Coturnix japonica: one gene and its partners. The protein of the gene in region 5 purifies or fractionates together with the protein of the main gene of each other region. This does not show direct contact. Links are inferred from orthologs where the notes say so. Each region holds a gene or a part of one and is shown on either strand. Other genes may lie near its edges.

Region 1 (3,981 bases), on a different chromosome or scaffold from region 5:
GAGGAATCTGGTGAAGCCCAGCTCTCATTTCTCACTGATAGTCTTATAACCACAATTGACAGTCTGGAGAAAGAAACAGAGAGATTCAGAGAGTTGCTGCTTTATGGACGCAAGAAGGTGAGTGTTGATGCTGTAGTTCCAAATACCGTGTGAATGTTTTGTTTTTCAAGAAATCTGAAAGCTCTGAGCATCAGTGAAAACTCTTTTTGCTGCTTGCAGTGCATATAATAATTCATGATGCTGCAGTATATTGATGGAGAAATTGTGTTCTGTAGTTTATAAAATGAAGTTGTATTCTTAAGTTAGCATGTAATCTAATGAAACATTTCTTGGGTTGAAATACTACTGTGAAGTGATCACTGATTATGTGAGTTAAATATTAAGCTATCCCCAGGAAACTAATTTCTGTATTAACTTAGGATGCTCTGGAATCAGCCATGAAGCATGGCTTATGGGGTCATGCTCTGCTACTTGCCAGCAAGATGGACAATAGAACGCATGCAAGAGTTATGACCAGGTACATCTTTGTTTGTTGTTTGTTAGTATGGCATGGTTACCTGTTCTGACTACAAGAGATCTGGTGCTCCAGAAATCTTGATGTTAAAATCACAAGTTATCCATATCACCTTATGCAAGGTTGATGCTTTAGTTTTATCTGGGTATTCAGCTGAAGCCTGTAGTCTGCTGCATTCTCTTGTCTGAGGTCTTGAGGTAGTAAAATTAAATTGGAGAAGTTAATTCAAGGGATATTTGATCCCTGTCATCCATGGGCGTGGGATTGATGTATGTCACATTAGCAGATCCAAGTAATTAATGATGGTTTTCTCTTGGTTGTTATCCTCTGTGCAATAGCTTATTTAGTGTATTTTTGAACTGCACTTAGTTTTCTTAAACTAAGCAAGATTACCAGTGACTGAATGTTCAGTGTACTTTAATTCCTTACCCAACGTTTATTTCTTGTTTTTCTGTATCATGTCTCTCTAGATTCGCCAACAGTCTCCCAATTAATGACCCTCTGCAGACTGTTTATCAGCTCATGTCTGGAAGGATGCCAGCTGCGTCCACGGTAAGGTTCCAGTGTGAGCTGCAATTGAGTCTTAAAGAGATACTGCAATGAGCAGTATAGTTAATAACAGTAAACCTTCCATGTGCTTTCTTTAGGTCAGATACATTTTTAGTCCTTTCTAGGTTTTAACACTTAAATGTGCAGAGCTCCTGCCGCTGATTTCTCTAATTAATTCTTCTAATTTTAGTGCTGTGGAGATGAGAAATGGGGAGACTGGAGGCCACATCTAGCAATGGTGTTATCCAACTTGACTAATAATGTGGACTTGGAATCCAGGACCATTGCTACCATGGGAGACACTCTTGGTAAGTCTTTAGGAATTAAATGAGGATGACTGAAGGAAAAGTCTCTTGAAACAATTTGATTACTCAGCTTTTAAAAAATCTTTTAACAAACAATTGCTTTGTAAAATGTAAAGTGTGACAGTTCTGTATGGGCTTGTCTGTATTGTGAAGCTATTTGAATGCAAGGCTAAGCAATACGTGCCATCAAGACAGAATATTCTGAGTTCTATTGCTTATTTTTCTGCAGCTTCTAAAGGCCTGCTGGATGCTGCTCACTTTTGTTACCTTATGGCCCAAGTTGGTTTTGGAGTTTACACAAGGAAGACGACAAAGCTTGTCCTAATTGGATCAAATCACAGGTTTGGATTTCCCTTCTTAAAACATCACTTCTTTGATGCAAAACAGAAAGGTTAATAGATAAGAGAGAGTTGCATTGCGCCCCTCATCATCACTAGCAACAGCTGGCTTTGAGAACTGTCTGATGCCCTGTTGTAGTTGTTTGAGGACCTGAAGTTGCTTGTACTGTCTAATAGAACAATATTTCTGGCTTTATCTATAGTAGACAGATCTGAATCTATTGATAATGCTTATATTCCTAAAGCTGGGTAATATTTTTCTTCTCCCATTCCTCAATAGCTTGCCATTTTTGAAGTTTGCCACCAATGAAGCTATTCAAAGAACGGAAGCCTATGAATATGCACAGTCACTAGGAACTCAGCCTGGCTGCTTGCCTAATTTCCAGGTGAAGACCTGTTCATTCTGTCTTCTCAGATTTTTGTGATACGTTAATCTCTCATATGTGCTTCAACGTACAAAATATTTTCTATCTCTTGCAACATGAAATATTCATGAACAAGAGTGCAGGGCAGCTTTTTCCCCGTTTCATCAATCAGTATTCATTTTTCCATCTGATGCTTCCAGGAATGTTCTGACCACTTGGTTTATTTTGCCTGTGTTCTGTAGGTTTTCAAGTTCATCTATGCTTGCCGACTGGCTGAAATGGGACTTGCTGCTCAGGCTTTCCATTACTGTGAAGTGATTTCCAGGACTGTACTTAAAGATCCACAGTACTATTCACCTGTACTTATTGGCCAGCTGATCCAGGTAACATAGGGAAGAACTATTAGAATTAGTAGCTTTATATTGTATATTAGTAGCTTTATATTGTGAATTAGTAGCTTTATATTGTAGGGGGTAAGCTGTGGGTAAGGTTACCTTGTTTGGCTGGTTAACTTTATAGTGCTTCCTTTCTCTAGATGTCATCGCAGCTGCGCCTGTTTGATCCCCAGATAAAAGAGAAACCAGACCAGGAAACCTTTGTTGAACCTTCATGGTTAGTGAGGCTTCGACATGTGGATGGACAGATTAAGGTACAAAATGTACTTTCTAACATGAAATTTTCCCTTCTAAGGATTAAAGAAAACCAATTTTAAGTTATTTTGCTCATATTGATAAATACAAAAACTTCATGCTTGTGTGTGATGACATCGTGAAATATTATATTGTGAAATACAAGTATTATAACTTAAACCAAGAGGATTTAATATAGTTCAGTGCCTTAAGATTTAGTACCTTAAAAGGTAATTACATTACATAAAATAGACTTTTTTAGTGCTGTAATGTAAGGAAAATTGCAAAGTTTGTTAGATTGCAGTAACTCCTTCTGTTTGTTGGTTAGAAAAACAATGAAACAAACATAATTGCACAAAGAATTTTATTGTGGATTAGTATAGCTAAATTTAACATTTATTTATGTAGAGAGTTCCACCAGCAGTATGAGAATTGAGCTCATTAACTATGCTTCTTAAAAACAAAGACCTAAGTGTTTTGATTGAATTTGATTTACAAGTGGATGACAGCTGTTTTTTTGACTCAACAGTTAAGAGTGTAAACAGTATAGCTGTTGCTTTTAGGATTTCTTCTTCTATATGTTCCCCTTGGTTATGAACTCAACATCAGGTAGAACTAATAAGATCTTATTTTTCTGTGTGTCTGCAGGAGGGTGCAATAGCTTATAGCACAGACAGATCCACGCCACAACAGTACCCATGCAGCACACCAAGCTCTGAATTAGACCATACCAGTCAATATGATGGAGCAGGAGTTGGCCATGATGTGGGTCCAGGCCCTGAAAATGCATTGTTAGCATCCTTATTGCCCAATATGGCTCAACAGATGCAAAGCGTGCAGCTGATGCCTTCAGGTCAGTTCTTATGGCAAAGAATGAAATAGATATTTTGTGTTTCTAATATGAGGAGCTCCTTAAAAGCACTGTAGAAACAGTGAGACTTCACTTCTGCATTGTATGATGTTATTCACGCATTGAAAGGCTCTGTTTAGTTGTAATTCTTAACCTTTTTGTACCCCAGCTCCTCAAGCTATACTTGATGGGTCAGCTGCTGGGATTCCACCTAGTGACCAGGAAGCTGTCCAAAGTGTCCCTTTCTACCCTGTGGCTTCCCAGCCTATTGGTCCAGGACCTGGCTTTGCACCTCCAGGATTTTCAAGTCAGTATGGAGCTGAGCCATCACCATTGTATTTAGGGTCAATGCTACCACCAGGAGGGCCACCACAAGAATCTGAACCACGGGAAGAAGAGCAGACAAACCTGGAAACAGGTCTGGAATCTTT
Region 2 (2,884 bases), on a different chromosome or scaffold from region 5:
CTGTTAATGATTTCTGTACTCAGAATGAGCTATGAGGGCCAACAGTGGAAAGATTCCAGAAGACCATCATGTGCTCAGCTTAACAAATATCTGTCTTGTCTCTAGACCTCTTGTCTTCATACAGTTAACACCAGAAATTATGTAAATAGAAGTTGTGTTCACCGTGCAGCTGGAAGGAACAGAATAATCGCTATGCTGCTGAGGTCCACTTTGACCATTTTCTTGTACCTTTCACAGTAAAATCGGATATGTGACATTTGAGCTGATTTGTGTCTCGTAAAGGAAGCGCTGATGGTTCAAAACCTCTAACGATTAGCCTCTGTATTTGAGTCACGCTTATACAAATGTTTATGTGGTTACCATTTGCAGATTCTTAAAGAAAGCCTTATATGTTTCAGCGAATCTAGATTGTAATGCCTGAAGCTTTGGTTGGTTTTCCAATGGTGCTGAAAAGGCACATTTGAACAGCAGCAGAATAAACAAAGGTATCAGAGTTAAAAAGAATAAGGTACCCCAAACTGGTGGAAACACTTGAAAGTAGGAGCCATCATTTCACTGATTCTGCTTGTAAGTTGGTGAATTCTCCTTAAGCTTGCCTTTTTGTTTTTTTATTTTTATTTTATTTTTTTTTTTTTTTAATTGTAAGCCCAAACATAGAACAGGAGCCACTTGTGTTGGCTCTTTGAGAAAGTAGAATCCTCTGCAGAAGGGTCAATTTCTGTGAGTAACCATTTTTGTACCTACTTTATTTTCTTAATGCATTCAGTGTTGACGTTGTCAAGATGAAGGAAAAGGTGGTTCGCCACTTTCTGCTTAAGGCGAACCCTGTCGTAGTCTTAACTTTTCAAACTTCTGTTCTTGTGACTTCACCAGAGTTGAGTCTTATCTCTCAGAGATTTGGCAGGAAGTGCAGAAATCTGCCTGCTGTGAAGTCTGTCCTGTGTTCTGGATGTGTGTGTCTTTAGTTCCAAGTGTGCCTAGTAATGATCTGCAAAACACAAAAGTGTCTGCAGTCATAAAGAATAGCTGGGTTGTATAGTTAGCGATGATGAGAGGGTGGAGTTGTGGAGGTTTAATTTTGGATATTAAGAGAACTAAACTGTAAAGCAAATGAGGTGGGACATTGTAATGACTACATACCAGTACCTGTATTAAAAATGTGCTTTGTTTCTTTGCAAATTCTGAGCTAATAGTGAAACTAATGCGGTCAGCATTCCTGCCAAAAATTGTTTTAAAGTAAGATAGATGCTGTATGCACAGGTTTTCAGTAACTGCTTGTACAGTGAGAAGGCATTATCATTACCACTTGTAACTCTCCTCATGTGTAATGCATATTACTGTGTTAATTTATATTTTTTGAAATACATAATTAAGAGCCAATTTGATTCCAGGATCACTTTGTGCCAGTTGCGGTGTTCTGGATAAAAATATCCTCCTGTTACGTGTCGTTATGTGATTACTGCTGCACTGAAGCTTTTATTCGGAAGAAATGTGCTATGCAAGGGTGTTCGAAATTGCCTGTGATAAAGGAATCGTTGTGGTAGAAGCAAACCAGCATAGCGGCTGAACTGTGAAAAAGGCATCTTGTTTGGAAATCAAACTTAATAAAAAAAAAACAACACTCTCAATCTCTAGTAATATAACTGCTTTAAATTTTCAGACAGTGGGAGTAGCTCACCGTTGCCCAAGTATGCCTCATCTCCCAAACCAAACAACAGCTACATGTTCAAACGGGAACCCCCAGAGGGATGTGAGAAAGTGAAAGTCTTTGAGGAAAGCTTGTAAGTAATGCCTTTTATATCAGCTGGTATCTGCAAAGCAGTAAACCTGTTTACTGAGCCCATTCAACTGCAGATGAATAAACTATTCCAGCTGATGAGTTTTTCAGGAGCAAACTATCCTTAGTTTGTACAGAAGAGAAGTTGAAGTGTTCATGTTGGTTTGAAGAGGAAATGGAGTCTTTTATGCTTGAACTCTTTTTGTGTATTTATAAAAAGGCAAGAAAAATCCAAGCGGAAAAGATAAGGTACATTTAATTTCCTAAGCGTTTATAAACCTCACTTTCATATGCTTGTATTAACTTTTGTAAATGTTCCTTGTTTGACACAAAAACTCTCCTTGCCAGAATTTTTATCAGTTTTGAGCATAGGTTGCATTCATATACCCTATGGTTACAATTGTGTTTAAAACACATAAAATGACTTGAAATCTATATATTATAAAGAGTTTTTAGATGGTTGTATACTTAATGACATAGACTTCGCTCAATAGTTTTGCTGTTGAGCAGGAAATCAGAAATTAAACTCTTAGACATGGTGTCCTTTTCCATAGACTCAGCAGTATTAGAACATATGCTGTCAAAGTTGCATGCTTAGCTCCTGTGGAAGAAAAGAATGAAGGAGGGGGATGGTTCTTGCTCTAACGGCATTCATTGCCCAATGGATGGTGAAGGAGCAATGCTGGGTTGTGGAGGAAGCCTCTGAGCAGATTACAGAATATGGGAAAGGAGAGGTCAATTTCACGGAGTTCCTTAAAGATTTGATGTGACTACACGTGTTGTTTCTGCAGTGCTATTGTTAAAGAAGACTTTGTGTCGTTCTAAATTACCATGGCATTTTTTCATGTGCATATGTATTGCAGATTTTTCTCTCTGGAAAGGTGCATGTTTATCCAGTAACGATGTCATTTTTGTGATGGCACTGTTTTTAATGCTGTGGATCAGTTAGCTGACTACCAATATGGAAGATGTTTGCCCCTCTGTCCAGTTAATCCCATTCCTTGTCATTCACATTTTAGCAACCTGTAGAACCACAAAGTTCACAACATACAAACATCTCAGTCGGACGAGTATATAATCTTTTTTCTTGTTGTAGGTCTCGTCAGC
Region 3 (4,535 bases), on a different chromosome or scaffold from region 5:
CAGGAAGCTCAGGTGGTAGCTGTCCTATGGCATGGATTTTGATCACAGTAATTCCTTGTTCTGTTCTTTTATGACCTGAATTATTTCTCTTTCGTGTGGCAAAGTTACAGATGTTGATACCAGATTTACTTACTCATCCAGAAGCTCAGACTGCATGGCAAACACAGCACATTGGGACCAAGTGCTGCACTTTGGGCTGTGCTTCTTTGGATCCAGCTTGTATATTAAGGATGACACATTTACAACACTTATGTGATTTAACACATAGATCTGGGAGATGGGGTGCCACTGTGGCTTATCTTCTCTTCCTCAGCCTCACTGCCCCACTGTCAGACCGACAAATTTATTGGTCTTTTATGAGACCAAGAATATGTATCCTAATTAATGCAGAATGGAGGTAAACAACATGGTTAGGAATGATGATGTGCCGCTCTCACTCCGTCAGTGAAGGAACTGCAGTGACCTTGCAGAAGGCTGCTGGTTTTAATCATGATAATTGTGCAGCTGACACCCTTGTTATGAAGACGAAGCAGAAGTGGGTGACTGCATGAACCAAAGAGCAAAGGAGCGGTCACACAGCTCCAGGTTCTCCAAGGTACTGGGTAACCAGCTCCTCTAAATTCACAAGGCCTTCAATATCTTTGTATGTTTCAGGCCATGGATTCCCTCACATCCACAATGTCTGTCCTCCAACTCTTGCCTTAAGAGAGCATGGAAAGTGATAGTAACTACTGTTTGAAGCCACATGTAGGTTTGACATAACTACTGACTCCTGTGAATGCCAACCAAGGATGAATGTAGCCTAAGTTTCCCCCATGGTTTGCTGGCTCCATCACTCCCTTAGCAGTCTGGGCAGCTCTTCTCTGCTCTTCAGCAGCCACAGCCTCACACAATTGTCTCATGAGAAACTCTTAATGCATGAAAGTGTGAACTGAAAGCTGTGGGAACAAGCGCTGATGGTAATGCAAGTTATTTACTCCAGAATACTCATTATTTAATTAGACACTTAACACCAGGGTTTCACTGCAATCCAGACCAGACTCAACGGCAAAGCCTTTTGTTTGTCATTCCTTTCTTTTTAACACATGAATACATACAAATCTATGCTTATGAGGAGCATGATTTCACTTTGCAGGGTAGTTCTATGCTCTCACAGCGAAGGATTTACACAAAATTAATGAGAGAAACCTCATGTTAGCACTACAAGGCTCCTTTTAAAGCCTGTTTTGCTCCCTTTATTACACCGCTGCATTGCCATATGAACTCCTGCTCAGCAGAGGGTTGCATCAAGATGAAGCCATACAACAAACTTGTTTTCCTGATGCTGTAGAACAGGTTTTACATACACACACACACACAGAGCTTTGTTCCAGCTGGGACAAGGCACCAAGGCTTGTCCCAACAGCGCTCCATAAGCATTATCGGGCCCTCACCATTCACATTGGGATACATTCAGTGTTTAACAGCTTGCATGGGGTACCCAAACCCAACCCCAGGCCGCCCCATAGTGACACAGACCTCCCCCCCATTAGCAGCGCGTCTTAAAGGCGCAGCATCACTCAACCAACACCGCATCACCGAGCTTACTAAAGAGCGCTGCGGTCCCTTTAAGGTTACCTCGACGACGGCTCCGGGTGAGAGCGAGGCTCATTGACGTCACGCCGCTCTCTGATTGGTCCAACCCGTCCATTTCCGGTGGGAGCCGCCGCCGTTGCTGTCGCTGAGGCCGAGGCGGGGCAGTGGGCGCTGAGGGCCCGAGGAAGGCGGCCGCTCCAGGTGAGCGCTGGGTGCGGCCTGTGAGGAACAACAACCGGGAATGGCCGCTGTGTGGTGGGGCTGAACGGGAAGCTCGAGGCCTTTAGGGTGGGCCTGGCTGCGGGGGAGCAGCGCCGGGGCCGGTACCGGAGCCTGACTGGGCCCCAAGGCTTGTAGGCCCTAAGGTTGTAGGCCTTAAGGCTGTAGGCCCCAGGGCTGTAGGCCTTAATGCTGTAGGCCTTAAGGTTGTAGGCCTCGAGTTGAGAGGCTGCGTTGTGGCCTTGCGGGTTCAGGCAATAGAAACGAAAGCTGCGGGGTGGGGCCTGGGGATGGGGTGGCTATCGGGCTCTATGAGCACCTAAAGGCCGTCCCCTCCCCACTCCCATTGCGGTCCCTGTTTCCCTGGGGTTCATTATTAGCGCTGACCTTCACCACGCTGTTATCAAAGCAAAAGGAGCATTAGGAGAAGGGAAATGCTCCTTTAGTCGTTTCGAGTCTGTACTTAATGTCTATGCGGTGTGTAATGTGTCTGCCCGGGGTTGGCTGTAACATTTGCAGCTCTGTGTTAGCTCTGTGCCTCCTGTAATGCCTGGCAGGACGATTCCATTGGGTACAGTGTTATATCACCTGTTATCTGCTGCCTGTAAAGCACGATGTGGCAGCTCAGTGACATGACATTTCAATATTGCTTCATCTGAATCCTTTTCTTTCTCTCTTCTCTTTCTAAAGCTGATCCTGAGATCAACACTTCTCACTGAACAGTCCTAAGCTGTTGCCGCTGTCTCTGTGCCAGGTAACTTTCTTTATATGTCATCAAAAATACCTTGAGAAATCATTTCCTCTTTCTTTAACTGTCTTATGGGGAAAAAAAACCAAACAACTCAACATTGATTTTATAAACATATACATAAATGAATAAATAAATTAGCATAATTTTATAACGTGAAGTATAAAAAAGAATAGACTTAATGGTATTTTTTTCAAAGTCTTGTGGCTTGCTCTGTGATTTCAAAATCTCTTTAAAGCCTGACAGTGTGATGGGTCTGTTTAAGGGTCCCCTCCTGATAATCCACAGCTGAAGAAATATTTTTGGGGATGGAGGTGTATTCACGGAGGTAGTTATGAAGTGTGGAATGATTTAAACTAAGGAGCTTCTATAAGAGGAATGCTTCTAATTCCCCAGTTGTCATTGATGGGCATTTGTTGAGCTGGCTTTGATTTGACCTTAGCACATCTCACTTCTGGATACCTGTAGTGTTTGTGTCTCAGATTCCTGGTTTCCACCCACCAGTCTCCTGTTCATCACCACCTGACCCCTGGTTTTAACTGGGGTAATGTTAATCTTCACAGTAGCTGATAAGGTGCAATGTTTTGGGTCTGGGAGGAGAGCAGTACTGATAGCACACCAGTGTTACAGCCATTACTGAGCAGTGCTTACACTAAGCAAAGGCTGTTTCAGCTTCTTGCACTGCCAAGCCACTAAGGGGCTGGGATGGGACAGAACCAGAACAGCTGCCCCACCTGGTTGAAATGGTTCTGTACCATGTGTTGTCGTACTCAGCAATAAAACTGGGGGACTCGGCTGGGGGGGGACAGCTGCTGCTTGGGGACAGACTGGGCATCGTACAGCAGGCTGTGAGCAATTGCAGTGTGCATCATTTGTTTTATTTTTTCTTTTTTTTTTGTTTGCTCTGTTCCTCCCCTCCTCATAGTTTCTTCTTTCACACTTTAGCTTTGTTACTGATCTTAGATATGAAGATGACTTTATCCAGTGATGTCAGTCAGATGATAATGCAGCATGATTTTCCTTTAGGCGATATAACGTGTCTGACTATATTGGGCTGCACCATCTTTTCTGCTAGTTCTTTAACTTTCTCTTTCTCATTTTCAGCAATGGCAACTTCCAGCAGCAGCAGCAGTGAGGAGGAACGTAGTCTTCGGGAATGTGAACTTTATGTCCAAAAACACAACATCCAACAGCTTCTGAAGGATTGCATTGTGCAGCTGTGCACCGTGAGACCTGAGCGACCCATGGGATTCCTCAGAGAATACTTTGAAAGATTGGAGAAGGTAAAAATTCCTTTCTGGGAGAGAAGGAGAGTGGAACAGCCAAAATTTGCACTGTTTAACTTGATTTAATGGCTGAGCTTCCAGTTTGGCCCATGTTTGTATTGGCTGTTTGGAACTGGGCCTGATGCTTTTGGAGGATGAATGGTATTTTCTGTAGTTTTTGCTAGTGGCTTGTGGTATGAAAGCACCTCTTGCTTTGTTGTGACAGAAGTAAACTGACAAGGACACTTACCCACCTGGGATTCACGTGTGATCCTAGTCTAGTGTTTGCTCATAGAAACTGATAGATAGGACACGTGATCCTGTCTGTGGTCAGTTGGTAAATGTGCTGTGTGACCCTGGTAGCTGCTGGTGATACACATTTGGTTTCTTCTGTTGAGGCAAATTGATTGCAAAGATTCAGGTATAGAACAGCAGCAGGCCAGTGTGGTAGTTAGCCCGGCCTAGCTGAAATCAAATGAAAGCACTTATTTTCCTGATTTCTAAGAGAACAAGCCTGTTTCTTCATTCTGTTGGGAACTGAGTGTTACTGTTTTGCTTTTTGTTCCTCTCATTTGTCCTGAAGGTCTCTTCAGTGTTCTTGTTGAAAACCTTGTGATCTTTGGAATGAAAAGCGTTTTCATTTCAGTGCTCATATTTGAATCAATTTAACGCTGATTTGAACAGTTAATTGAATATAACTATAGCTTAAGCTGATAGAGAATAATCTG
Region 4 (4,702 bases), on a different chromosome or scaffold from region 5:
CGACAACACGTGCCACATCACGCTGGTCATCCACCCGCGCAAGGAGGACGACGAGAAGGAGCTGCAGACCGCCTCCATCTTCGGCTCTGCCAAGGTGGCTCCTCCTGGGCCTCAGGCGGGGACAGGGTGGGGACATTGGCACGTCGCCGTGACCCAAACTGTGCTGCAGTGGGGCTGGGTGTCCCCTGCCATCTGGTGGCACGCGGCTGATTGATGCTCATCAGCTGTGGGTGGGATGTGGCATGAGTTGCTCCGTGGGGTAGCAGGGAGGACGCTGGGTGTGGGGGTGCCCCGTGCCCTGCAGCACCCCCTGGAGATGTTCTCCTCCCCCAGGCCAGCCAGGAGGCCGACAACGTCCTCATCCTGCAGGACCGCAAGCTCACGACGGGTCCCGGGAAGCGCTACCTGCAGGTGTCCAAGAACCGCTTTGATGGCGATGTAGGCGTCTTCCCGCTGGAATTCAACAAGGCCTCGCTCACCTTCTCCTCCTACGGCAAAAGCAAGGCCAAGCTGAAGAAGGTGAAGGAGGAGAAGGCGCCTTCACCCAAGAAGGGTCCCAATGGAGGAGGTGTGGGTGGCTCTGGCAAGCCCTGAGTGTGGCAGGGACAACCTTGGTACTCGGGCACACCAGGTGCCGTGCGGCTGCGCTCCTCCTGAGCAGAGCACGATGCTGGGAGATGGGAGAGGAGTGGATGTGCAGGCTTTGGGGTCTCTGTACCCTGAGCAGGTCAATATAGGGTTGCTAAGTGGAGGCTGATGGCCCAGGTTTACCTCCCGCACGGTGTGGTGCTAGTGCAGCTCTGCCGGCTCTGAGCCCGGCCCCTCTGGCCACATGTACCACCAGCAGCAGTAGCAGCAATGCCTCAGGGACACAGCCCTGGGCGCCTCGGAGCCTCTCATGGCAAAACACTGTGTCTGAGCCAGTCCTCCCCAGCACAGGGGAGCCCGCCGTGGGCTTTTGGCCCATCCCTCTGTTTTCTTTACACTTTTATTAAAGCAGAGCTGTTCAAGCTGTTTGTCCTTCGCTGCATGAGCGTCCCCGTGCTCCCATCCCCCATCCCTCCAACTTTGGGTCCCATTCAGCCCCGTGTCCATGCTGTGCGTGGGGCAGGACGGCACAGCGGGGCCCCATGGCCCCACGCACACACACACCTCCCGCCCCAGCGCTGACCCAGCACCGGGCACCTCCCCGCCACCGCGCCCCACGGCTCCCACGCGTGGGGCCGGGAGGAGGCATTGGCCGCCGCGCCGGGAGCCGGGCCCATGGCGGAGGACGGGGATGTGGAGGTGAGCGGGACGCAGCCCCCCCCGTGCTGCCTGCGGGGCCGTGGTGCGGGCTGAGGCCCTGCCGCCCCCTGAGGGCCCTTCGCTGCCGTCGCTGCCCCGCGGCCCGGCCGTAGGGCAACCCCCTGCCGCCTCCCATCCGCCGCGGGGCCGGGGGCCGGGGGCGGCGGGGCGGGCGGGGCCTGGCGCGGGCCGGGCCGGCGGAGAGCGGCGGTGCGGAGCGGAGCGTGAGCGAGGGCGGCCGGGCCTGGGCCGGAACGGGCCGGTGGGACCCGCGGGGACACAGTGGGGCGCTACGGAGAGGAGGGACGGGGGGGGGCGGCCCTGACCCCGCTCTCTCTTCCTTTTCCCGGCTCAGGGGGCGGCGGAGTCGGGCCGGGACCCGCCGGACGGATGGGCCGCGGCCGGCCAGGTGAGAAGCGGGGCGACCCGCAACGGGAGAGGGGGCCCGGCGTCACCCCGGGGTGATGCTGGGGGCGGTGGAAGCGGGGGGCGGCCCCGGGGCGGTGCCAGCGCGGCGGGCGGAGCGCGGCGGCCCGAGCGCATCATGGGGCGGCCCGGCCCGGGTGGGTCCGGCTCGGCCCGGGGGGACGCGTCGGTGTGGAGCTCCAGGGCGGGGGGAGGGGGCGGAGTGGGGACCGTGAGCTGTGGGAGAGAGGGGTGTAGGGACGGGATTGGGGAGCGGGGTGATGTTGGTGCCGGGGTTGGGGGGGTTGGGGAGGAGGATGCTTCAGGATGAGGTGTTTGGGGCGTCTCTCTGAGGCTGGAGCTGAGGTATGGCAGTGTAGGCAGCGCTGTGGGGCAGAGCAGGGGTGCAGGACCGGGAGCAGTGGGGCAGAGAAGGCACCGTGACTGCTACGCAGTGGGGACCCTGCTGAGTGCATGGGGCTGCCCCTGTGGGGCTCTTCCTTTGGGCCCTGCACGGGAGCACTGGTGCTGCGTGAGCCCCCTGCATGCCCCGTGCCTCCCCCTGCTCCGGCTAATCCCAGCTTTATGCTGTTCTGCTCGACGCCTGCTCATGCCCGGCATATCTCTTGCAGCCATCCCACATCTGCCTGCGCCATTATGGGGGTCCTATATTCATTGGTGTCCTATGGGATGAGTGAGTGAGTTTATTGCTTAAGGCCTCACGTTGCCTTTCTTTTACAGGCTGCCTGCGCCCCCCTGCCCGCTGGGGGCCCCCCTGCCATGGCCATTGTGCAGACACTGCCAGTTTCCATCGAGGCCACGCCTGAGGCTGCTGCCCAGCTCCGCACTGCCACCCGCTCCCCCCTGCCCACCCACGGCACCATGGGCAGTGTGGGCAGCCTGATTGCCAGCCGACCATGCCACGATCGCTCCTGCCAGCCTGCTGGTGCTGGTGGTTCCTTCCGTGTGCAGGATACGCTGCTGCGAGCCAGCCCCCCGGATCCCCTGCTCCACACTTTGCCCCCCAAGAAGCCGTGCTCAGCCACTGCCCATGCCTACACCAATGAAGTTTTTCATGGGGAGTGGCTGGAGGCAGCCTCTCCCGTCAGCCCCTGCAGCGACTCAGACGAGGCACGGGATGAACAAGCCCCAAGTGGTGGCATCCGGGGGCCGCCCCCCAAGCTTGTCCCTGTCTCTGGCAAGCTAGAAGAGGTAAGGTGGAAGCAGTGCTGGGGGATCTGCTCAGCCCTGTGCTGCACTGGGGCTGCTGGGCTTGGGGAGACGTGCTGGTGCATGCATAGAGAGAGCACATGGTCCATGTCGCTGGGGGTGGTGGTGATCTCTGTGCTCCTGCTGCCCTCTTCCTCATGTCAGGAGTGGCCATGTGTGTGTGGGAGCCTGTCTGAAACTGCTGCATGGAGCAGAGGGCACCTAGTGGTCATCTTCTATAGAGCTGTGACACTCTGAGGTGTTGGGTGGGAGCAGAATTGGTGGGGTTACCAAGTCCTCCCTGGTGCTCTGGCAGCATCCCCAGCATCTGCCAGGCCACCTCTGGAGTGTACCTGGTCCCCAGATCCCACTCTCTCCTCTTTTGCCTTGCAGAATGTGGAGAAGACCCTGATCCGCCCTATGGCATTCAAACCGGTGGTACCCAAAGTCAGGGCTGCTCCGGGCCCGGCCAGCCAAGGGGTACGTCCAGGGGCTGCAGCATTATCAGAGAGCCAGGTGAGCCTCACCCACCTGCTGGGGACCACCGGGGCCGACAAGCCTGGCTCACTGAGCTGCCGCACCAGCAGCCACTCAGGCACGCTCTCAGACTCGGGACGCAACTCTCTGTCCAGCCTGCCCACCTACAGCACAGGCTGCAGCCAACATACTGAGCCTGGCAACCTCACAGCCACCCCTCACAGCCACCCTGAGCCCCCAGGTGGCTACCGCCCACCAGCCGGCCCCTCCAACTCGGACAGTGGGCGCTCATCCTCCAGCAAAAGCACGGGCTCGCTGAGTGGCCGGGGCCGGCCCTCCTCCGAGAGTGGCTCCTGCGGGCGCTCGCCGCTGCCTGGTGAGGAGGTTCTGCTGGTGCGTGAACTGGAGGACAAGCTGCGGGAGAGGGAGGCCGAGCTGCAGCAGCTGCGGGACAGCCTGGATGAGAATGAGGTGGCCATCTGCCAGGTAAGAACCATATAAGGGTAAGGAGAACCAGGGGAGCTCTCAGGGCTGGGGGTGCCCATATAGTCCTATTGTGTAGATTTGGGTTATGCATGCAGTGATGTGTCTGGGGAACCCCATGGAGATTGTAGATGCTGACTTGGGGAGACATGGAGGTGGTGTGGGATGTGGGATGTCCCATCTCAGCGTGTGCCTGTGCCCAGGTGTATGAAGAGAAGCAGCGTCGCTGTGAGCAGGAGCTGGAGGGTTTGCGGCAGCGCTGTGCGGCCCAGGTGCGACAGGCGGCCCAGCAGGCGCAGCGTGGGCAGCAGGTCCTGCAGCTCCAGGTGCTGCAGCTGCAGCAGGAGAAGAAGCAACTGCAGGAGGACTTTGCTCAGCTGCTGCAGGAGCGGGAGCTGCTGGAGCGTCGCTGCGCATCCTTCCAGCGGGAGCACACTGAGCTGGGGCCACGGCTGGAGGAGACCAAGTGGGAGGTGAGCTATGCTGGGAACAACCGTGGTGTCCCTGTCACTCGGGGGCCAGGGTGGGGCCGTGGCCGGTGCCTGAGCATCTGCTGTCCACAGGTGTGCCAGAAGTCGGGTGAGATCTCCCTGCTGAAGCAGCAGCTGAAGGAGTCGCAGGCAGAACTGGCGCAGCGCGGTACGGAACTGCTGGTGCTGCGAGCGCAGCTGCGCGAGGCGCGGGCCGAGCTGCAGGCAGGTGAGCAGCAGGCACGGGGGCTGCAGGAGGCCGCCCGGCTGAAGGCACTGGAGCTGGAGGTGTGCGCCAATGAACTGCAGCGACGCAAGAGCGAGGCTGACCTGTTCCGTGCCAAAGCGGGCCGTCTGGAGCAGGAGGTGGC
Region 5 (4,776 bases):
AAGTTTCCTAAACTCTTGCTAGAAAAGGAAAAGAAATGAAATCGTAAAGCAAGTTAACAAATAATCTACTGTACTCAGTTATAAAGACAAAAGCAGTAAATCTCTGTAAATAATCCTATTCTACAACGAGATCTATTTACAAAAGGATTTCAGTAGTGATACAAGGTTTCCATGCTTCCATAAAACAAAGGTATCAAGAAAACTTTTGACTTCACTTTAGAAAACAGTTGGCCAAATGGCAATAAAAATGACTGCAGGTAGACTAACCAAGAACATCAGCTGGAACAACTTTAACCCCAACTACGGGACTGCAGGTTGGAAAGCACCTGAAATAAAGCCACTTCAAGAGGAACACTGAATAGAGAATCTAATTATAGCAACAGAACTTGCTTCTTTGCTGAGAGTCACCACCCATTTCAGTTCAGATAAAACTATAAAACGCCATCACAGCAAACAAGGAATAGTTCTTGGTGAGTTTTATTAACTGGTCTTCTTGCACACAACCACACAAGCAGGTGTTTCATACACATTAGCATAACCTATTCAGGACTTTCACACTTGGTAAAGCACTGGCTAACTTACTTGAACTAACAAAAACTCCCAGTAAATTCATTAAGGCAAAGCCTAACGATATAGTTAACCCAGACCCATTTCTTTCCAAGGCCCTGCTGGAATCAAGCTGTGACATACATGCTAGCAGCTACGTCCTATTTAAACACAATGTTAAAACCTAAGTTTTTACTTGATGCCAGTCATGTTTTTCTCCATTGCATAAACCATCTACCAGTGTGTAGGAAGTTATTTACGACCATCATATGCTCACTCCTAGTCCGTTCACAGCCCACGTGCTTTAAAAATTGATAAATTCCTGATTACTACATCCTTATTTGACACAAGGAAGATCACACTATCCATAAACTGACACTGAAATAGAGACCACTTGGCTGCTATTAGGTAAAATTATCCTTCTCGCTGCTTCTCCGTAACTGTCCAACAGTGGGGGAAGGGATTCCAATGGCAAACTCCAAATACACCTGAGTATTGATACAGGAACTGGAATATGGCAACAAACTTTCTCACCTACTGGCCTGTAAACAATATTAAAGAACCCAATGTGTGCATACACAACAACTTAAGAGAATGGGCTGCATCCTTTTGTGATTTAAGAAGACTGTGCTATTGGACAGCTCAGTCAAAAACGTTTAGGAAATACGATTGAAACTCCATAAGCTTCATAAACTTTTATTCAATTTTTAATTCGTAGAACAAATGTAAATCCAACATACGAACTCTACTACTGACCATGAATGAAAAGGCTTTGATTCTAAATATTTTGTATAAGCGAAAAACATTAAGCACAGCCTACAAAAGTAGCCTACACATACACACACACAGAGTTCACAAGATACAAGTAGATAATAGAAATACTAGCTCGTGTTCACAGTTATCTTCAGCGTTAGCATTCTAATTCTATAAAGTATAATTAATTTTCCAAAAATACCCAACCTACAGATGCTGGGGGGAGTACAGATAAGGAGAAACAAGTTCTACCAAAACTTCTTCAGGCTACGTTATTCCAGTGTGGTAAGTTACACTCTACTCAGTTACTCACAGATAATAAAGTACCGCTACAAACAAAACATCACTTTATTCATCCTCAAACATTACTGATAAATTCTTCAGCTCTACCAATATAATAAGAAAACGAGCTGTTCACTTATCCAGATCCCCTACGACGCTGAAAGCCACGTAAAAGCCACTGTGTGCACCTACTGGCAAAAGTTACCTGCACGCTCCCATTGGGACTACAACAGTAGGTTGTCCAAGACATTCCTGTCGATTTATTTCATAGCCAGATATTCTGCCTTTGTTAATTTTAATTTTAAAGAACAATGAATGTTTATTTCCACCGATGGCTGTGGAGTAACAGGAGAACTAAGTAACAGCAGCAATCTAGACACATGATCAAAGGACCCCTACATGGCCTTTGGGCAGACTAAACTCTAAACTTCAAAGCTGATCGAAACTCAAAAATGCACCAATTTCGAAATTCCAAATTACAGCAGTTCTAATTGTGTTTTCCGATTTTGTGGCAACGGGAGGGAACACCACAACGGAGGAAAAAAGAACCCCACACATCACAGGAGGTCTCTGGCACCTCCAGCAGCACAAAGCTCCATTCCTAGCGGGCTGCAGCCAGCTACTGACACCCCGCAGGTCCCGGTGCGCTGCTCGGCCGCCGCTCCCCGCTCTCCCCAGCGCAGCCCGATGACAGCAGCCTCCTTCAGGTACTCCTGCCCCGGCCCCAACTCCCCCCGACCCCCGCAGAAGGTGCGGGCAGAGCCACCACAACAGGTGCCCGCCGCGCTGACGGCCCCGCTCCTGCCACCCTCGTCTCCCCGCTCCCAGGCCGGGCCGAGACCCCGCTCCCGCCCACCGCAGGGCGTTGCGCATCAGAGCGAGAAGAACCGGGCGAACTCCCTTCCTTCATCCCCGCTCCCGGGGCCCGGCTCGCTCGCATCCCGGTAGCCTCTCCCGGACACCGACGAGAAAAGGGCCGCAGAGGCCGCAGTCGCTGCCCCGGCCTGTCCCATTAGGGGGCGGCGGACGAGAGGGCGGGGAAGGGCAGCCCCGAAGCCCGCAGCGGCTCCGCGCCCCGCCAGCGCCGGGCAGCGGCCCGCCGGGCCCCGCGCTCTCCCCGCCGCCTCTCTCTAAGATGGCAGCGCCGCTGCCCCCTGCGCTGCGCCCCCTTCGACCGCGCCGGGCCGGGAGGTGGCACCCGCCGGTCCCGCTGCGCAGCGCCCCGCCGCCGGCTCACTCACCGTACGAGCCCCGCGCTCCGGCCCGGCTCCTCCCGGCAGCGGCCTCTCCTCTCCTCCTTTCCTCTCCTTTCCTTTCCTCTCCTGCTGGTGCGGCGGGCAGAGCGAGGAGCGAGCGCTTCTTCTTCTTCTTCCCCCGGCCTCGGCCCGGGGCCCCGGCGCGGCGGCGCCTCCCTCTTGCGCGCTCCGCAGTCCGGCCGGCCGCCCCGCCGCGCTCGGGCCCGCTCGGCCGGCGGCGGTGCCGGTGCCGATGGCAGGGTCTGCCCGCTGCGCGCCTTCTTCTCCGGGCGGCGGGGAGAGGTGGGGGGGGCCCGGCCCGGCCCGGCGGGCGGATCCGCGGCGCTTCCTGGCCGGGCTGGATTTTCTATCGCTCACAAAATGGCGCGCGTTCCAAACCTGCGCAGCGCCCGGCGGCGGCAACGGCGGGGCCCGGCCTCGCCTCGGCTCGGTGAGGTGCGGCGGTCGACGGCGGCCTGAGCCCCGGCCTGGCAGCGCGGGGACAGCGGCGGGCGGGCGGCGAGAGCGGGCGGGGGGAGGGGGAAGAGGAGGAGGTGGTGGAGAAGGAGGGGGTGGGGGGAAAGCGCAGCGCTGTACCGAGCCCCCGGGAACTCCTCGCTCCCTCCTCCCTCCCTCCCCCGCCTGCCAGCCTCTACCTCCTCCCACCCCACCCGCTCCTCCTCCTCCCTCCCGGAGCGGCTCTGCGCCGGCACCGCTCCCTCACAGCGCTCCGCAGCGCGGGGTGGATTTCCGGCAGACCCTCGGGGACGAATTATTGCCCTTTTTGGATATATACATATATATATACATATATAAAATTGAAGGTGTTCTTCTGTTTTCTTGTCTTTCGGAGTGGAAGCGGGGAAGGGGAAAATAAGCGAATAAATTAAAAGAAAACCGCCACCACGGTTCGGGCGGGAAAGGGTTTGGGTTTTTTTGTTTGGGGGTTTTTGGTTTTTTTTTGGGGGGGTGGGTGGAAGGGGTAGGTTAAAAAAAAAAGGCGAACCGACAAAATGGCGGCGGGGCGAGCTCGTCGCTGTGGCAACTGTCCGTCAGGGCGCCCTGCTGCCCCACCCCGCCCGGGCGAGCGGGAGGGAGACGGCGCTGACGTGGGGAGGGAGGGAGAGAGCGACGGGTAAAGGGCCGGGCTGCCGTAGCCCGGCAACCGCTGCTTCCCCGCCTCCCCTCGGTGACGCTGTGACGCTGTAGCCGTGCGGGCCGCGACGCTGCCGGCTGGGATGGACTCGGCTCGCCGGGCTCCGGGGCGTGAGGAAGGGAGGGAGGGAGAGGCGGGGACGCTGCCCGCCACGACGGTGTCGCCTCCCCGGCCTGCAGGGGGCGCCGGCAGCGCGGAGGGGGCGCGGGTTGTGTCGCCCCCCGGCGGGTGTATGGGGGCTCGGGCGGGCAGAGCTCCTTCCCGCTTTAAGAATGACCCGTTCCGCTCATTTATAAGGCATCGAGAAGCTGGTGCTGTGGTGAGCTCTGTGAAGGGAGGTTCCTGAGGGATTGCTGCTTCCCTATGAGCTGGAGTGCACTGGAGTTTGGTTTGTTGGTTTTTCGTTAGTTTCTGGAATGCTCGCAAAGATCAGGAAGTAGAGGATGGCCTTTATCTTACTTTTTAGTCCTAACCTGCGATGGTGCTTTTTAGCTCCCAGGCAGCCTCCTTGAGGAAATGAGGACACGTTCCTGATACCTGTTCCTTTAGCTTTTATTCCCACCTTAACTTTTTTCTTGCAGCAAAGACAGTGGCAATAAATAGCCAAAGACAGGCAGATAGGTGTAACAGCAACCAAGTGTTACATCCCCCAAACACTTCATCATTACTTTACCAATGCAGTATCTCAAGCAGTTCATAGAATCACAATATACTCGAGCTGGAAGAGATAGGTTAGTATTGTTGTCACACTTTATACCAGGAGTTTGTGTTATATTTCTTAAAAAATAAGAAGACGGGCTCATA
Region 6 (3,334 bases), on a different chromosome or scaffold from region 5:
TTTTCCTGTTGCAAGAAGCATCTCTTCTTCTTTTCTGAGCCCTGTTTCTTGGTGTGGAGCTCAGTGCTCTGGGTGTCTCAGCAATAGAACGGGGTGTTAAAGGAGCTGCTGTTTGAGAGTCTTCATGAACCTGAAGCTTTTCTCACATCCTGGCCTCATCCAGCAGCTGAAGCTGAGCTTCTCAGCTTTGCCTACAGCAGTAACATGAGATGGAGCTGAGTGTTGCCTCTTAGACTTCTAGCTTTTCCCCCTTACGTACGTGATCTGCTGGGCTGTGAAGTGACACAATGTTCTGGCATAAACACCAAATGCCGTCTGAGTTGTTTAGGAGAGACTATTTGAGGTAGGAAATGAGATCAGATGTGCTGCGTGCTCAGAGTGTGGGGTTGGCCTGAGCTGCAGGGCTTCCTATGGGAGCAGCCTGCTCCTCCACGGGGCGGCTGAGGCTGCTCTGAGCTCAGCAGGACCTCACAGTAATGAGCAGATTGCTTCTGTCAGAGCAAACTGAGCGCTGGGCTCCAATGGAACAGCTGCTGTGCTGCCAGTTCTGCTGGTCCTGTGCATGGAGACCCAGGCAGCACACAGTGTGTTGGGAGCGCTGTGCCCTGCATGGGGGGCTGCAAGGAGGGGCTTCATTAGAGCCCGTGCTTTGGGGCAGGGTTGGATTTCTGTCTGGAGGTCACCTGCATTCAGTTAGCACAGGAAAGCCTGCTACCTCTCCAGGTAACTCGCCTTGTTCCTTTGGTTTAAATCCATTTTGAGGCAAGAGGCTTCTGTCATCCTGCTTTCTGGATGGGGTTGTTGCCAACAGCTGCTGTCCTCGCAGTGGCCTCAGGGGAGATGAGGAGGAGCTGTTCTCAGGCCCTTGCACCTCCAGGCAGCCAGTCCCTGAGGATGGAGGAGGGGAGAGTTCTCCGGAGCCTCCCACAGCACAGCAGGGACACGGGGTGGGTGTTTTGTGAGGGCCTGACATGTGATGTTGGGAAAAAGCAGCCCTGCAGCTGACGTGCCTTGGGAGCGTTGTGATGCTGCAGGGCTGCGATGGGGAGGATTGAGTTGAGTGGAAGGAAGTTCACACCCATCACTGATCAGATCAACCCCTTCTGACTGCCATTGATACTCGTGATGGAGCTGCTGCTTGGAAAACAGCTGTGCAATGCGCTGGGGTTGTTTATTGTGCACCAAGAGCCAGCTGAGAGCTGCCAGCCCTTCAGCCAGGCATGAGCAATGGAAGCAGCTGGGCTCTTCCAGCATTGAGTCTGCTGGCCAAACCCTGCTTTTTGGTTACGCCTTTGAACTGCGATAATGGGAGCCTGAGGTCTCAGCAGCAAACTGTGTGTTCTCACAGCTGGGTGAGGCTTTTCCTCTCTGTAACGTTGCTTTGTACAATGAGTGCCTGAGTCCCTACGTCAGCCTGCTTTGGGCTGCAGGCAGCATTGGGGCGTGAGGAACGATGGCTGTGCTTCACATTGCCAGGTGCCCATGGGGATTGAGGAGCTGCCTCCTGAGCAGCTCTGTTGCCATGCAGGTCCCTGAGGTCCTTTAAGATGCTGTGACAACGTTGGGGTTTGGGGCAGTGCAGGAAGGATGCGACCTCAGTGCATTACTGAGTGATAAGGGGGAAGGCTGGGACAGGGCTGTGAAGGGGCAGCAGTTGGTTGATTTGATTCTTTGGGACTCACCCAGCAGCTTCAGGGCAGTGAATGTTGTGATTGTTCTCAGCAATGTTTCTCCTCGCTTCAGACCCCGGTGTCCTGGCATGACGTGGAAGTGGGGAAAGGCAGCTCCAGTGCTCACAAACGTTCTGCTTCTTGGGGTAGCACAGATCACCGCAGAGAGGTAAAATAGATCACACCCAGCTCCTGAGCAAGGGCTGTGTTAGCTGCTGGTGGGAGTGCTTGTAGGTGGCACAGTGTGCGTGGGCTCCAGCAGGGCCTGGCCCTGATGCTGCAGGTGGAAGATAACCCAGATCCCACCGCAGAATGGGAGCCCTTCCAAGGGGAGGTTTGTGGTGAGGCCTCGTGGGCAGCCCTGGCCCATCCTTGGAGAGGCAGCCGGAGCTGCTTGTTGTACAATTAGAACTGTCTCTATTTTGGCACTTCCTCATGGGTTCAGACAGAGGGGGGGGAGGAGAGAGATGAGACGTGATTATTTGGTTTTGGTGGAGGTGTGTTGGGTTGCTTCATTCTGACGCTGAAACTTTCTTTGCTAGATTGCCAAACTGAAGCAGCAGCTCCAACGAACGAAGCTGAATGGCAGAAGTGGCAAAGAAAAGGAGAAGAGCTCCCCGCTGCAGGGGGACCACGCTGTTCTCACATCGCTCCGGGTAGGTTCACATCTCCCTCTGCTGTTGTCCCTGCTCCTCCCAGTGAGGAGGAGTGTAAACTTGGGCCTGCTGACATCCCAGCCGCTCTCAGACATCTGCTCAGTGTCTGAGGAAGGGGAGTGGTTTTTTCTTCCCCCCCTTTTGCTGCTTCAGCAGATCCCCATGCTCCAGACGGGTGGGTTTATGTGGCTCTTGTGCCAGTCTTTGCCAGTCAACCTCCCAGCAGGCTCTGGCTGAGCACTGTGGCATCAGAATGGGATGAGAAATGGCTGAGTCTGTGCTGTCATAACTAACATCTTCGTCTCTGGGTTGTTGCAGGACTCTCCTTCAGGCTTCCTTTCTTCGTCTCCTGTTTTGAGGCTCAGTCCTTGCTTGCACAGGAGTCTGGAAGGGCTGAACCAGGAACTGGAGGAAGTGTTTGTGAAGGAACAGGGAGATGAGGAGCTTTTGAGGGTGAGTGAAGGTTGTAGGATCACCCTGAATCTCCTGTGTGGTCTCAGAAATGCTTTCCTCTCATGACGTTCACTGCCCATATCTGCTTCTTGGCCATGAGAGTGGTCTCTGTGTCCAGTTTTGTTCTAGGCATGTAGCTGCCTGAAGCTTCTTACAGGGGATGCAGAAGGGTCTGTGTCCTTCTGCTCTGGTTGTGGCTGAGCCTCTGCTGGGAGCCAGTAGAACGCTGTAGGAGTGGCTGTTTCTTCACCTTTTCTCCAGTAAAAGAGGTGAGTTTCTCCTTGTTCTCCTGAAACTTTGCTTCTTTCTTTCCTAGATCTTGGATGTCCCAGACGGCCACAGAGCACCAGCACCTGCACAGAGAGGCTCTGGAGATGCCTCCCTGATCCTGGAGCCCAGCAGTGGCAGCTGCAGCAGCCTCTCGCTTTCTCCTTCCCCTTCTGTGCCTCTCCACCTTTCTCCACACACCCCAGTGAGACTGGTGGCAGAAGAGCTCTCCTCTGCTGTAGATGAGGTGCAGCTGGATTCAAAAGAGAAAGGCAAGTGCTGAGCCCA
Region 7 (3,745 bases), on a different chromosome or scaffold from region 5:
AGTCCTGGGAGTCTCCCTTTGCCTTTCTCCATCTTCACCCTCACTTGGGCTGATGCAGCTGTTTGTACTGCAGTGCTGTAAATAATCACTGAAACAATTCAGGTTCCAAAACCAGGTGTTCTTCTCCCCCCCCTTATTTAGTTAATGGAGATCCATTGATGACCTGGTTCCCTTTGCAGCTGAGGTGATAGCAAACTGCTTCACAACAGAAAAAAGCAGCTAAGATGAATCCAGCCGTTCAGCTCTTATTCTCTCTGTTGCCCTGACAGTTGTTGTGCTTGTTTCCTGCAGGAGTCACAAGCAGGGAGGGCAGCTGGAATTCTGCTTGGTCTAACTGTATTGGAGTGCAGTCATTTCCTTTGGTGGGGAAGATAAAAATACAACAGGACTTGTAGCTCTGCCTCATGTTTGCATAGCAAAGAATTCTCATTCTGGACATATGAGGCTTCTAACTTTGATCTGTGTGCTCTGTTTGAGTGGGTGGAATTGCTGTTGTTTGATTTCTCATTTCCTTTCTTAGGCTGAAAGGATATTTTCAGAAGTGAGGAGGATTGAAAACTACAGAGTAGAAGGCATGGAGATCTATTCAACTACGCTGTGGCATCTGCAGAAAGATGTTGCTCTGTCAGTTCTTTCAAAGGATTTAACAGACATGGATAAAAACTCACCAGAGGTACAAAATGCTGTGGTGCTCAGTGAGATGAGTAACTGTGTGCGGCACAGACAGTGACAGGGAACAGAACTTGGACTGGAGCTGGATTAGGATTTCATTCTCACTTGAGAAATATGAGGTGAAACTGGAGAGGGAGGTGGCAGGATTTGCCTGTTGAGCTGATGATGCCTGAAATGGCTGCTTGGCGTTAGAATATCAGCTTATATGGGACACGTTGTGAACCTTTAATCTATTAATGGTGATTTGAATCTGTATTGACATTGTTAATCCAGGAAGATCATGGGTTGATCAATTGTCCCTGCTGATGCCCACATGTAAAGATAAGGGATGTTTTTTCTCATATTATCTTCTAACTGCTGTAATTCACTGGCACTCATATTTCCTGCACAACTTGTACAACGCTGCTTGAAAATATTTTTATGCTGAAGTCCGTTGAGCTGGTATTATAACATGCACATGACATGCAAGCAAGCTGACATGTGCCCCAATAATAAGTATGTATGTGTGTGGAGGGGATATAAATCTGCTCTTGACAGAGTGGGGGAAGCTGTGGAGTCTGTTGGGATTTTCTGCTGGAGATGAACCTATTCAGGTCATTCTATTTTGTACTAGAGGAAGGAGGACTTAGTGAAGCAACTGGTCAGTACTGTTAAAACTGTTGTTTATAATCTAGTAGCAAGTGACATAATTGCATAGATCAGTGACAGAAGATCTGTTTAGCTCAGACTTGGTCATTCTGCAGGTTGTGAAATGACACTTCTAACTTAGAATGCTGTTTTTTATTAGGCATGGTGTGCTGCAGGGAACTGCTTCAGCTTGCAACGAGAGCATGACATTGCAATCAAGTTCTTCCAGAGAGCCATTCAAGTTGATCCAAACTATGCTTACGCCTACACCCTTTTGGGGCATGAATTTGTGTTAACAGAAGAGCTAGACAAGGCATTAGCTTGTTTTAGGAATGCAATCAGAGTCAACTCCAGGCACTACAATGCATGGTAAGTCTTGCTTCATCCCCCTTCTGCTGTATGTGATATGGAGCACCTTTGGGAGGAATAAGCTGCAAACGCTGCTGTGAATTTTGTGAGACTTTTCTGTCATTGAGTCATTTCTAAATATGTGCCACTTCTACCAGTCCATATTTGCTGATGACAATTAGTTTATTTAAGATGCACTCTTATTAATGGAACTGTTTTTCCTTTTTGCAGGTATGGGTTGGGAATGATTTATTACAAACAGGAGAAATTCAGTTTAGCAGAAATGCATTTCCAGAAAGCACTTGATATCAATCCTCAGAGCTCAGTCTTACTGTGTCACATTGGAGTAGTAAGTAGATTGCGCTCAGCTCTCTCCTTGTTATGTTCTGATTTGCCTCTGCCCTTTACCTGCAACCTTCCTGAACTTGAAGTGCAAAAACAAACAAAACAAAGTTCAGAGGATCTATTAGAGGATCTTATTGCATGAATGAATAACCGTGGGATTGTGTCAGAAAATAAATCCTCTTTTCTCCCTCCCCCCAGTTGCTTTTAGCCAGTGTTGAAATGGCTTACTGACTCAACCTGATAGCATAGGCTTACCTGTGAGAAAGCTTGGTTTCTTTAAGACTCAGTAGGAACAGGTTGTAAGTAAACGTAGCAGCACCAGTCAAATTTACTTTATTCTTTTCCCCTTTTGAGATTTTATTCCTGTTCTGTTACAGGTCCAACACGCACTGAAAAAATCTGAAAAGGCTTTGGATACTCTAAACAAAGCAATTAACATCGACCCCAAGAACCCACTATGCAAATTCCATAGAGCTTCTGTACTGTTTGCAAATGAGAAATACAAGGTAAGATTTGATGCACGTAGACAACCTTAGATTATCTGTTACTTGCTACAGCAGCGGATGGGGATGCAGTGATAAGCATTAAGGCTTGAAGCATGAGTAGGAAGAGCCTGAGGCAGAGCAGCTAATAAAGCATTTGTTTCAAGAAGTGCCACCTTCACTGAGCAGGAGATTAAAAGTCAAAAGCAGAGGATACCTGTGAGCAGGAGAAAAAAAATTAGATGTTATTATAGGAGACCAAAGCCCAGCGTATTTATTCTGTGCTTGTAATAATTGGGCCATAACATTCTATAGCCATTAAAGGAGAAACTAATGTAAAAGAAACTTGAGGTGCTTCTGATGAGGCCGTACTGTTGTTTGTGGTGGAGTGTGCTGTATGTCAGTTGCGAGGTTTGCATCAGCTCTGAGTTGCAGTTCAGCAATGCAATAACTGGCTGCTGGTTGCCAGCTTGTGCTTATTTTTTTTCTTCCTTTTCAGTCTGCTTTGCAAGAACTTGAAGAACTGAAGCAGATTGTTCCCAAAGAGTCTCTTGTTTACTTCTTAATAGGAAAGGTAGGTGAAATTTCACTGTGTTTGTAAGCACTTTGTTTTCCTTCATTGCAGAAACGTCTGCTTAATGAGGAAACTTGAAGCCTGTTGCCAAGCTGTTTACATTTGGGGCAGCATTGTAAAATTCACAGAGCCTTCAATAAGACTTGCTGCATATAATCTCACAGCTCTCCAACGTAACAGCTTTCAGCCTTAAAAGACTGGAGCAACCTCAAGCTATTTTTATAACCACCCAAGAAAAGATAACCCAAGCTCCTGTTGTCTTCTTTTACATCTGTTGTCTCAGAGGAATTCATTTTAGAAAGCAAGAAATGGATCTTTATTGAGATCTTTAACTGCAAAGAGGTTGCAGTAGTTAGAACAGCTTTCAGGGCTAGGCTGACTATCAGTCATCTGTGTTGGTTATTTGGGCCTGGAGATGTGAAAGTGTTGAACCATGCTCAAATGTATAAATGTATTAATATTGCATCAGAAGTGCTGAGTAAGTGTCTGTGGGGTGCTTTTACTCCTCCGTGTCTGTTTCAGCTGATGGCCTTTGCAAGTGGGTTACAGAAGGCGATATCCTTCTGTATCAGTTTGGGAAGTGGGAAATCTTAATGAGGCTGTAGGAGTTCCGAGGCTTAAATTACATCTGAAGAACCACTTCCTTATGTTCTTGAATCTGTTGGCTGCTAATTTCATTTGATCACTTCATTTAAAT

The links.
Region 1: the proteins of DYRK1A (region 5) and SEC16A purify together in Homo sapiens (affinity purification with mass spectrometry, with the first as the bait; 3 studies listed by BioGRID). This does not show direct contact. The link is inferred for Coturnix japonica from reciprocal best matches to the Homo sapiens genes DYRK1A and SEC16A.
Region 2: the proteins of DYRK1A (region 5) and GLCCI1 purify together in Homo sapiens (affinity purification with mass spectrometry; 8 studies listed by BioGRID and IntAct, with this or other methods). This does not show direct contact. The link is inferred for Coturnix japonica from reciprocal best matches to the Homo sapiens genes DYRK1A and GLCCI1.
Region 3: the proteins of DYRK1A (region 5) and PRKAR1A purify together in Homo sapiens (affinity purification with mass spectrometry; 6 studies listed by BioGRID and IntAct, with this or other methods). This does not show direct contact. The link is inferred for Coturnix japonica from reciprocal best matches to the Homo sapiens genes DYRK1A and PRKAR1A.
Region 4: the proteins of DYRK1A (region 5) and LZTS2 purify together in Homo sapiens (affinity purification with mass spectrometry; 8 studies listed by BioGRID and IntAct, counting the BioPlex papers as one, with this or other methods). This does not show direct contact. The link is inferred for Coturnix japonica from reciprocal best matches to the Homo sapiens genes DYRK1A and LZTS2.
Region 6: the proteins of DYRK1A (region 5) and FAM117A purify together in Homo sapiens (affinity purification with mass spectrometry; 4 studies listed by BioGRID and IntAct, with this or other methods). This does not show direct contact. The link is inferred for Coturnix japonica from reciprocal best matches to the Homo sapiens genes DYRK1A and FAM117A.
Region 7: the proteins of DYRK1A (region 5) and CDC27 purify together in Homo sapiens (affinity purification with mass spectrometry; 3 studies listed by BioGRID and IntAct, with this or other methods). This does not show direct contact. The link is inferred for Coturnix japonica from reciprocal best matches to the Homo sapiens genes DYRK1A and CDC27.

The regions. Positions count from the first base shown.
Region 1 is NC_029532.1:6,356,478-6,360,458, forward strand, and holds part of SEC16A (protein transport protein Sec16A), read left to right. Parts: coding exon 1-117; intron 118-419; coding exon 420-517; intron 518-984; coding exon 985-1,066; intron 1,067-1,253; coding exon 1,254-1,371; intron 1,372-1,597; coding exon 1,598-1,709; intron 1,710-1,986; coding exon 1,987-2,092; intron 2,093-2,313; coding exon 2,314-2,454; intron 2,455-2,606; coding exon 2,607-2,720; intron 2,721-3,348; coding exon 3,349-3,553; intron 3,554-3,719; coding exon 3,720-3,968; intron 3,969-3,981. UniProt on the Homo sapiens protein: Acts as a molecular scaffold that plays a key role in the organization of the endoplasmic reticulum exit sites (ERES), also known as transitional endoplasmic reticulum (tER).
Region 2 is NC_029517.1:22,767,222-22,770,105, forward strand, and holds part of GLCCI1 (glucocorticoid-induced transcript 1 protein), read left to right. Parts: intron 1-1,660; coding exon 1,661-1,781; coding exon of another isoform or gene 1,782-1,785; exon of another isoform or gene 1,786-2,873; coding exon 2,874-2,884.
Region 3 is NC_029533.1:6,402,210-6,406,744, reverse strand, and holds the start of PRKAR1A (cAMP-dependent protein kinase type I-alpha regulatory subunit), read left to right. Parts: upstream 1-1,655; 5' UTR 1,656-1,776; intron 1,777-2,484; 5' UTR 2,485-2,548; intron 2,549-3,646; 5' UTR 3,647-3,648; coding exon 3,649-3,825; intron 3,826-4,535. UniProt on the Homo sapiens protein: Regulatory subunit of the cAMP-dependent protein kinases involved in cAMP signaling in cells.
Region 4 is NC_029521.1:20,199,316-20,204,017, reverse strand, and holds the start of LZTS2 (leucine zipper putative tumor suppressor 2), read left to right. Parts: upstream 1-1,476; 5' UTR 1,477-1,696; intron 1,697-1,785; exon of another isoform or gene 1,786-1,878; intron 1,879-2,433; 5' UTR 2,434-2,472; coding exon 2,473-2,904; intron 2,905-3,294; coding exon 3,295-3,864; intron 3,865-4,064; coding exon 4,065-4,334; intron 4,335-4,424; coding exon 4,425-4,702. Other genes in the region: TWNK (twinkle protein, mitochondrial), read left to right, coding at 1-94, 334-594. UniProt on the Homo sapiens protein: Negative regulator of katanin-mediated microtubule severing and release from the centrosome. Required for central spindle formation and the completion of cytokinesis.
Region 5 is NC_029516.1:96,407,135-96,411,910, reverse strand, and holds the start of DYRK1A (dual specificity tyrosine-phosphorylation-regulated kinase 1A), read right to left. Parts: upstream 2,930-4,776; 5' UTR 2,823-2,929; intron 1-2,822. UniProt on the Homo sapiens protein: Dual-specificity kinase which possesses both serine/threonine and tyrosine kinase activities. Exhibits a substrate preference for proline at position P+1 and arginine at position P-3.
Region 6 is NC_029542.1:2,730,511-2,733,844, forward strand, and holds part of FAM117A (protein FAM117A), read left to right. Parts: intron 1-1,743; coding exon 1,744-1,839; intron 1,840-2,212; coding exon 2,213-2,326; intron 2,327-2,644; coding exon 2,645-2,779; intron 2,780-3,095; coding exon 3,096-3,318; intron 3,319-3,334.
Region 7 is NC_029542.1:2,302,695-2,306,439, forward strand, and holds part of CDC27 (cell division cycle protein 27 homolog), read left to right. Parts: intron 1-520; coding exon 521-673; intron 674-1,459; coding exon 1,460-1,668; intron 1,669-1,878; coding exon 1,879-1,996; intron 1,997-2,369; coding exon 2,370-2,498; intron 2,499-2,973; coding exon 2,974-3,048; intron 3,049-3,745. UniProt on the Homo sapiens protein: Component of the anaphase promoting complex/cyclosome (APC/C), a cell cycle-regulated E3 ubiquitin ligase that controls progression through mitosis and the G1 phase of the cell cycle.